2 linked regions of the Saccharomyces cerevisiae S288C genome follow. The protein of the gene in region 2 binds, or shares a complex with, the protein of the main gene of each other region. Each region holds a gene or a part of one and is shown on either strand. Other genes may lie near its edges. A codon is read from its position in the direction of its gene.

The links. The genes of interacting proteins can lie anywhere in the genome.
Region 1: the proteins of RPN1 (region 2) and RPT2 are in contact, whole or in part, in a cryo-EM structure (PDB 6FVW), measured with the Saccharomyces cerevisiae proteins. Residues at the interface, in NP_011892.1 of Saccharomyces cerevisiae: Lys57 (codon at 1,835), Asp142 (codon at 2,090), Ser144 (codon at 2,096), Asp145 (codon at 2,099), Phe146 (codon at 2,102), Trp149 (codon at 2,111), Leu205 (codon at 2,279), Asp206 (codon at 2,282), Ile207 (codon at 2,285), Pro209 (codon at 2,291), Tyr210 (codon at 2,294), Gln247 (codon at 2,405), Tyr248 (codon at 2,408), Met249 (codon at 2,411), Val250 (codon at 2,414), Ala251 (codon at 2,417), Cys252 (codon at 2,420), Pro254 (codon at 2,426), Leu255 (codon at 2,429), Asn364 (codon at 2,756), Ser365 (codon at 2,759), Asp613 (codon at 3,503), Leu616 (codon at 3,512), Leu620 (codon at 3,524), Leu624 (codon at 3,536), Lys627 (codon at 3,545), Lys720 (codon at 3,824), Asp723 (codon at 3,833), Glu724 (codon at 3,836), Glu725 (codon at 3,839); in NP_010277.1 of Saccharomyces cerevisiae: Thr53 (codon at 1,861), Arg54 (codon at 1,858), Cys55 (codon at 1,855), Leu57 (codon at 1,849), Lys58 (codon at 1,846), Leu59 (codon at 1,843), Leu60 (codon at 1,840), Arg61 (codon at 1,837), Met62 (codon at 1,834), Glu63 (codon at 1,831), Arg64 (codon at 1,828), Ile65 (codon at 1,825), Lys66 (codon at 1,822), Asp67 (codon at 1,819), His68 (codon at 1,816), Leu69 (codon at 1,813), Leu70 (codon at 1,810), Leu71 (codon at 1,807), Glu72 (codon at 1,804), Glu73 (codon at 1,801), Glu74 (codon at 1,798), Val76 (codon at 1,792), Ser77 (codon at 1,789), Glu80 (codon at 1,780), Ile81 (codon at 1,777), Leu82 (codon at 1,774), Pro84 (codon at 1,768), Phe85 (codon at 1,765), Ser180 (codon at 1,480), Tyr181 (codon at 1,477).

What each region holds. Positions count from the first base shown.
Region 1 is NC_001136.10:436,423-440,063, reverse strand, and holds RPT2 (proteasome regulatory particle base subunit RPT2), read right to left. Parts: upstream 2,018-3,641; coding exon 704-2,017; downstream 1-703. Other genes in the region: type 2C protein phosphatase PTC1, read right to left, coding at 1-155; YDL007C-A (uncharacterized protein), read left to right, coding at 3,240-3,497. UniProt on the Saccharomyces cerevisiae protein: The 26S proteasome is involved in the ATP-dependent degradation of ubiquitinated proteins. The regulatory (or ATPase) complex confers ATP dependency and substrate specificity to the 26S complex. Has ATPase activity.
Region 2 is NC_001140.6:161,230-166,377, reverse strand, and holds RPN1 (proteasome regulatory particle base subunit RPN1), read left to right. Parts: upstream 1-1,666; coding exon 1,667-4,648; downstream 4,649-5,148. Other genes in the region: DAP2 (dipeptidyl aminopeptidase), read left to right, coding at 1-1,400; VMA16 (H(+)-transporting V0 sector ATPase subunit c''), read right to left, coding at 4,893-5,148.

The sequences.
Region 1 (3,641 bases), on a different chromosome or scaffold from region 2:
CCCCAATCTAATCTTGAAGCAAAGTTTTTAACATACGTATGAACATCTTCCATTGTCCTCCGAAATTTCGAGTTTTTATTTTCCGCCACACCTACTCTATAAGTTATGTCATATGGTGTTTCTGGCCTTTCTAAGATTTCAGAATGATTACTCATTATAATGATTTTTAAAAGATAAATGCAGTGCCTAAATGATATATGAAGTAAGAATGTGCAAAATCTCGTATACTCGGTATAGAATGGAATTTAACTCACCTCCTAATTGATAATACTGCCTATTTATTTTCTTTTCAACGACAACAAAAATAAGCGTTCACTTACTTAAACTATCAAAACTTGTTGTGTTTGGGGTCTGTTAATGTAAAGGAATCCGGATAAAAATTTTGAGACAACTTTGAGAGCTGTTTAAGACGAAAAAAAGTGACCTCAAACACACGAATAATAATGTTTAACTAAGCTTTCAATTTGCAAAGGTATACTTTGTCTTTTGAGTTTTAGTTTCCTATAAAATTAGGACAACAAACCCTCTCAGATGTGTTCACCAGTTTTCCTTTGCAGTTAGAATTCGCGAAGGCCCCGACGCCCTACCTATATTAAGTTTTTGAAACAAATATTGCACGTGATACAAAATGTACACATATTAAGCTTTGTTGAAGCATTACTTATATACGTAAATCTATTATAGAAAAATGTAAATGGGCACATCACAAGTATAAACCTTCTAAATTTTCCTCAACTTTATTTTTCATGACTCTCTCCTTGGCTTGTTTAAAATCCTCCGCTGTAACTTGCATTCTTCTCTCTCTAAGGGCTAACAAACCTGCTTCTGTACACATTGCCTGGATATCGGCGCCTGACAAATCATCCTTTGTTGTTACTAAAGTTTCAAGATTAACGTCCTCACTTAAATTCATCTTGGAAGTGTGAATCCCTAAAATTTTTTTCTTAGTACTTAGATCAGGGTTTTCAAATAAGATTTTACGATCAATTCTCCCAGGCCTGATTAATGCTGGGTCAAGAGTCTCGATTTTGTTAGTGGCCATAATCACCTTCACATCCCCTCTGTCGTCGAACCCGTCCAGCTGGTTCAGCAATTCCAGCATGGTTCTCTGAATTTCTCTCTCACCACCACTATTGGAGTCATATCTTTTAGTACCAATGGCGTCTATTTCATCAATAAATACAATACTTGGTGCATTCTCACCCGCTACTTTGAAAATTTGCCTACACAACCTAGGACCATCCCCCAAATATTTTTGAATTAACTCTGAGCCAACAATCCTTAAGAATGTGGCAGATGTTTGATTTGCAACAGCCTTTGCTAGCAATGTCTTACCTGTACCGGGTGCACCATAAAGAATCACACCCTTGGGAGGTTTGATACCCATCTCTTCATACAGTTCGGGGTGTGTTAACGGTAACTCTACAGACTCTTTTATTTCTTGAATTTGAGATTCTAAGCCACCAATATCACTGTATGATTCTGTTGGCGACTTATCCATTTTCATGACCGAAACCATTGGATCGGCGTCATCCTGTAAAACACCTACGATGGACATGGTTTTATGATGCAATAACACAGAACATCCAGGCTCTAGTAACTCTTTATCGACAAAGGATAAGATAGATACATAATAATCAGGCATAGTTGGACTTGTCACTATCGCATGATCATCGTCTATAATTTCTTCAAGGGTCCCAATGCTCAATGGATTTCCACGTATTTCTTCCAATTGTTTCTTTTCCTCCTCCTGCTTCTTTTCAAAGGGTTTTAAAATTTCAGAGTTAGAGACAAATTCTTCTTCTAATAACAAATGGTCTTTAATTCGTTCCATCCTTAGAAGCTTTAACTTACAACGAGTACTTGGATATATGTTGGGTAATTTTTCAGCAGTAGCTGGACCTCCCTTTCTTTTCTTACGACCAAATTTAGATTGAACGGGAGGTTCATATTTGGGTTTCTGATTAGATCCCTTCTTCTTCTTTTTGTCTTGTCCAGATGATACACCTTGTCCCATTTTATTTTCTATTAAAAACGCTGTCTCTTCTTTAACTTGAATTGACTGTAAGCTTGACACTGATACGCATCATATTCACTAATATTCACATTAACCTTCTTTTAGGTAAAAGAAAAGAGACATTTGCCACCGGAGAAAAACCGTTAATAACTCGTTACCCGGAGTGATAAAAATATTGGGAATATAAAAATGACGACAACTGCAGGACTCGAACCTGCGCGGGCAAAGCCCAAAAGATTTCTAATCTTTCGCCTTAACCACTCGGCCAAGTTGCCTTACTAATGATGAATTATTGACTTAAGATATATCCCAAACCTAGGAATATGTAAACCTGCTGGAATATTATTTGTTAGAATAAAAATCAACTATTCTCTCTCAACTAGTAGTCTTACTACGAGTATATTATAATGTACAATGTTAGATGATGACATAAGGTATGAGAAACTGTCATAGAAGTTAGAGGAAGCTGTATTCTGTATACATAATATTATTGCCTTTATTAACAATGGAATTCCAACAATTATCACTTGTTGATAGTTAGAGGTAAAAAATAGTATTAATGAAGAAATAAGTATTGATCTTCTTATACTAAATAAGAGAGGTATATAAAACACACGCCGATTGGTCATATTAATCATGACCAATATAATAGTGATTCCGGTAGTTACTATACATTGATGTGACGACTCATATTCCTCATATATGTACCTACCATATCATGTTCAATTAATAGATCTTTAGCACAGCTTCAGTATTGTCTGAGCTTCTCGTTTAACATTCCTTCTGCAATAGGTGCAATCACACTTAAACGTATACGAGGTGTACATTAATATACGGTGTAAGCATTAGATTGTTACCATAGCAACTCATGTCACTATTAATTACTCTCGTTCCAACATCACTAAATTCCCGTAATTACCACCGCAAAAGAAAAAAGAATACAAGAAATGGAAAACTAGCGCATAATTTTGTTTCTTTCTTTTTCAAAGTTGCAGCCGCTACTATTGATTCGTTTGAAAATAGCACTTGGCGGCTAAACTACCGGCATAGAAAGTGGATCGGGCAAAATTAAAAGGGAAAGAGCGACGGGGTTACGGGACCATTACATAAAAAAAGTATCACAAAATCTATTGTATGCAAAGATATAAACCATCACATTATTGAAATAATATCGTTCTTGATACTTCCATAATCCAAGAAAAATATTTCAAGCACTTTCTTGATGTTCCTTCCTATAATTTTTCACACCATCCTAACCCTCCTGAACTTTGGTAAATATTACTGTTTACCTATTCAAGAAGACGATGATAAATCAGGAAAAGAAATTGAACAAATTTTAGACAATAACATCGAGTCATTAGGACTACTACTAAATTCGATGTCCTTATCCTCGAACTTTACGACAGGCGATCCTGAACTAGATTCGCTCTTCCAAGATGATTTAATCCCCGAGTTATATAGTGTATTAGATGGCTTCTAACACCAAGTATGTGTATTCTAAGGGTATACAAAATAAATACTGCGATACTATTCAATTCTTCAACAGCAGCTTACTAGATGTAAAATTAGTTACTTCAATTTATACTGTCACTTTTGCATATTTTCAATAGAATAAAATTACCGA
Region 2 (5,148 bases):
ACATATTGACTGTGTTTTTGATAGATACAATTGCAAAGACTTCAAACGTGGTAAGGAACGAAAGTTCTAACGGAGGATGGTGGGAGATTACTCATAATACTCTGTTTATTCCGGCAAATGAAACATTTGATAGGCCTCATAATGGTTATGTTGATATTCTTCCGATTGGTGGTTACAATCATTTGGCTTATTTCGAAAATAGTAATAGTTCACACTATAAAACATTGACAGAGGGGAAATGGGAAGTGGTGAATGGCCCACTTGCCTTTGATTCAATGGAAAATCGTCTTTACTTCATTTCTACACGAAAGAGTTCAACCGAACGCCACGTTTACTACATAGATTTACGGTCACCAAATGAAATTATTGAAGTTACTGATACTTCTGAGGATGGTGTCTATGATGTGTCCTTTTCTTCTGGTAGAAGGTTTGGTTTACTCACCTATAAAGGACCAAAAGTTCCATATCAAAAAATTGTGGACTTCCATTCTCGTAAAGCAGAAAAATGCGACAAAGGTAATGTTTTAGGCAAATCACTATACCATTTGGAAAAGAACGAAGTACTTACCAAAATTTTAGAAGATTATGCGGTACCCAGAAAATCATTCAGGGAATTGAACCTAGGAAAGGACGAATTTGGAAAGGATATACTAGTGAACTCGTATGAAATCCTACCAAATGATTTCGATGAAACGTTAAGTGACCACTATCCTGTATTTTTCTTTGCATATGGGGGACCGAATTCTCAACAAGTTGTCAAAACGTTTTCCGTAGGATTTAATGAAGTGGTAGCTTCACAATTAAACGCAATTGTAGTTGTTGTTGACGGTCGTGGTACTGGCTTCAAAGGTCAAGACTTTAGATCCCTTGTTCGCGATAGGCTCGGTGATTACGAGGCCCGCGACCAAATATCTGCGGCTTCCTTATATGGTTCTTTAACTTTTGTTGATCCGCAAAAGATTTCCTTATTTGGTTGGTCATACGGGGGGTACCTGACACTAAAAACTTTGGAGAAAGATGGCGGAAGACATTTCAAATACGGGATGTCAGTTGCGCCAGTAACCGACTGGAGATTTTACGATTCTGTTTATACTGAGAGGTACATGCATACTCCTCAAGAAAACTTTGATGGATACGTAGAATCAAGCGTTCATAATGTCACTGCTTTGGCACAAGCAAATAGATTTTTGTTGATGCACGGAACAGGAGATGATAACGTTCACTTTCAAAATTCCCTAAAGTTTCTGGACCTTTTGGATCTAAATGGTGTGGAAAATTATGACGTCCACGTCTTTCCTGACTCAGATCATAGTATAAGATACCATAATGCGAATGTAATCGTTTTTGACAAGCTATTGGATTGGGCAAAGCGTGCTTTCGATGGGCAATTTGTCAAATGAGTTGACTATTTACAGCTCATCTCATAGAGACATTCATAAAACATTTTCATATTTACATACTATGTATATATAAAATTGGTAATATAACAGATTAATGTTCGTAGAAGATGATGTGTTTTACGGTGGCAAAAGGCGAGCACGAAATTTGGCAAAGGGTATAAGTAATTAAGCAAATTTGGTCAAATCTATAATTCTTCACTAACAAACTTGCCCATTGGTCTACATAAGGTGCGATTCGTATAAATTTGGAAGACAATTGCAAGAAAATGGTAGACGAAAGTGATAAGAAACAACAGACTATTGATGAACAATCGCAGATAAGTCCTGAAAAGCAGACACCAAATAAGAAGGATAAAAAAAAGGAGGAAGAGGAGCAGCTATCCGAAGAAGATGCAAAGCTTAAAACAGATTTAGAGCTATTGGTTGAAAGGCTGAAAGAAGACGATTCATCTTTATATGAAGCGTCTTTGAATGCCTTAAAGGAATCGATCAAAAATTCTACGAGTTCTATGACCGCCGTTCCCAAACCTTTGAAATTCCTTCGTCCGACATATCCAGACCTATGTTCTATCTACGACAAATGGACAGATCCAAACTTGAAATCCTCTTTAGCGGATGTCTTGTCCATTTTAGCCATGACATACTCTGAAAATGGTAAACACGATTCATTGAGATATAGATTACTCTCCGACGTTTCTGATTTTGAAGGGTGGGGACATGAGTACATCCGTCATTTAGCTTTGGAGATCGGTGAAGTATATAATGATCAAGTGGAAAAAGATGCTGAAGATGAAACATCATCTGATGGATCTAAAAGCGATGGATCTGCGGCTACTTCCGGGTTCGAATTTTCCAAGGAAGATACTCTTCGTCTATGTTTAGACATTGTCCCATACTTTTTGAAACACAACGGTGAAGAAGACGCGGTAGATTTGCTTTTGGAAATTGAATCTATTGACAAGCTACCTCAATTTGTCGATGAGAATACCTTCCAAAGAGTTTGTCAATATATGGTTGCATGTGTTCCACTTTTGCCACCTCCTGAAGACGTTGCCTTTTTAAAAACCGCATATTCTATTTATCTATCTCAGAACGAACTTACAGATGCAATTGCTTTGGCAGTTAGACTAGGGGAAGAGGATATGATCAGATCCGTTTTCGATGCTACTAGCGATCCAGTGATGCATAAACAATTAGCATATATTTTAGCCGCACAAAAGACATCGTTTGAGTATGAAGGTGTTCAGGATATAATTGGAAATGGTAAATTGTCTGAACACTTTTTATATCTTGCTAAAGAATTGAATCTAACTGGGCCAAAAGTCCCAGAAGACATTTATAAGAGCCATTTGGATAACTCTAAATCTGTGTTCTCAAGCGCCGGCCTAGATTCTGCTCAACAAAATCTAGCTTCGTCATTTGTCAACGGGTTCTTAAACTTAGGTTATTGTAACGATAAATTAATTGTGGATAATGATAATTGGGTATATAAAACCAAAGGTGACGGTATGACTTCCGCGGTAGCTAGTATTGGATCTATATACCAGTGGAATCTCGATGGTTTGCAACAACTGGATAAGTATCTCTACGTTGATGAGCCAGAAGTTAAAGCTGGTGCATTATTAGGTATTGGTATTTCCGCTTCCGGTGTGCATGATGGTGAAGTTGAACCAGCTTTGTTACTTTTGCAAGATTATGTTACTAACCCAGACACTAAAATTAGTTCAGCAGCTATTCTTGGCCTGGGTATTGCATTTGCTGGTAGCAAGAATGACGAAGTGTTGGGTTTGTTATTACCAATTGCCGCATCCACTGACTTGCCTATTGAAACTGCAGCTATGGCTTCCTTAGCTTTGGCTCATGTTTTCGTTGGTACTTGTAATGGTGACATTACAACTTCTATCATGGACAACTTTTTAGAGCGTACAGCCATCGAGTTGAAGACCGACTGGGTAAGGTTTTTGGCACTTGCTTTAGGTATTCTATACATGGGCCAAGGTGAACAGGTGGATGATGTTTTAGAAACTATTAGTGCTATTGAACATCCAATGACATCAGCTATTGAAGTATTAGTTGGTTCATGTGCTTATACTGGTACGGGTGATGTTTTGTTAATTCAAGATTTGTTACATCGTTTGACCCCTAAAAACGTAAAAGGTGAAGAAGATGCAGATGAAGAAGAAACTGCCGAAGGACAGACTAATAGCATAAGTGACTTTTTGGGTGAGCAAGTGAATGAACCTACCAAGAACGAGGAAGCTGAGATCGAAGTGGACGAAATGGAGGTTGATGCCGAAGGAGAGGAAGTTGAAGTTAAAGCAGAAATAACAGAGAAGAAGAATGGTGAGAGTTTAGAAGGTGAAGAGATAAAATCCGAAGAAAAGAAGGGAAAATCTTCCGATAAGGATGCTACTACGGACGGGAAAAATGATGATGAGGAGGAAGAAAAAGAAGCAGGCATAGTCGATGAACTTGCTTATGCAGTTTTGGGTATTGCTTTGATTGCCCTTGGTGAAGATATTGGCAAGGAAATGTCTTTACGTCATTTTGGTCATTTAATGCATTATGGTAATGAACACATCCGTCGTATGGTTCCTTTAGCGATGGGTATTGTTTCCGTTTCTGATCCACAAATGAAGGTGTTCGATACCTTAACTCGTTTTTCACATGACGCCGATTTAGAAGTTTCAATGAATTCAATTTTCGCTATGGGTCTATGTGGTGCTGGTACTAACAATGCAAGGTTAGCTCAACTATTAAGACAGTTGGCAAGTTATTATTCACGTGAACAAGACGCTTTGTTTATCACCAGATTAGCACAAGGGTTATTGCATCTTGGTAAAGGTACTATGACAATGGATGTGTTCAATGATGCACATGTTTTGAATAAGGTGACATTAGCATCAATATTAACTACCGCAGTTGGTTTAGTATCGCCAAGTTTCATGTTGAAGCATCATCAATTGTTCTACATGTTGAATGCCGGTATAAGGCCAAAGTTTATTCTAGCATTAAACGATGAGGGAGAGCCAATAAAGGTTAATGTGCGCGTTGGTCAAGCAGTGGAAACTGTCGGCCAAGCAGGCAGACCAAAAAAGATTACTGGCTGGATTACGCAATCCACTCCTGTTTTACTAAATCATGGCGAAAGAGCAGAACTAGAAACTGATGAATATATTAGTTACACAAGCCATATTGAGGGCGTAGTAATTTTAAAGAAGAACCCTGACTATCGTGAAGAGGAGTAAACTGAATAGCTTTTGGGCAATATCAACCAGAATAGGAAAAATTCAAAACCATTTTAAATAAATATATATTTATATAGTTGTACATTTTTTTCTCTTACTTAATATAATATGATTTTTAGATAATAAAAGAAAACGTGCATATATACATACACATGTATCTCAGATATCTCATTATATCTATTAGTAAATATGGATGCGCTTATCTAGCTCGTAAAAACGGAAAAGAAAAGCCTGGTTTGAGCGCTTACTGAAATTCAGAAGCTTTACCGGCCATCAATAAACCAACAATCAAACCTAATAAACCTAAAATGGACCCGAAAATTTCAATGACCAAAATTTTAACAAACAATGCGGAATCAGCAGCATCGGAAATGGCAGCAGTCGCACCGGTGATACCGACAGCGATACCACAAATCAAATTGGAAGCACCGACAGTGATACCTGCCCAGAAAAGAGAATAACCAGTGTACAGGTTTGATTTCGAGTACATGTTCTCAGCA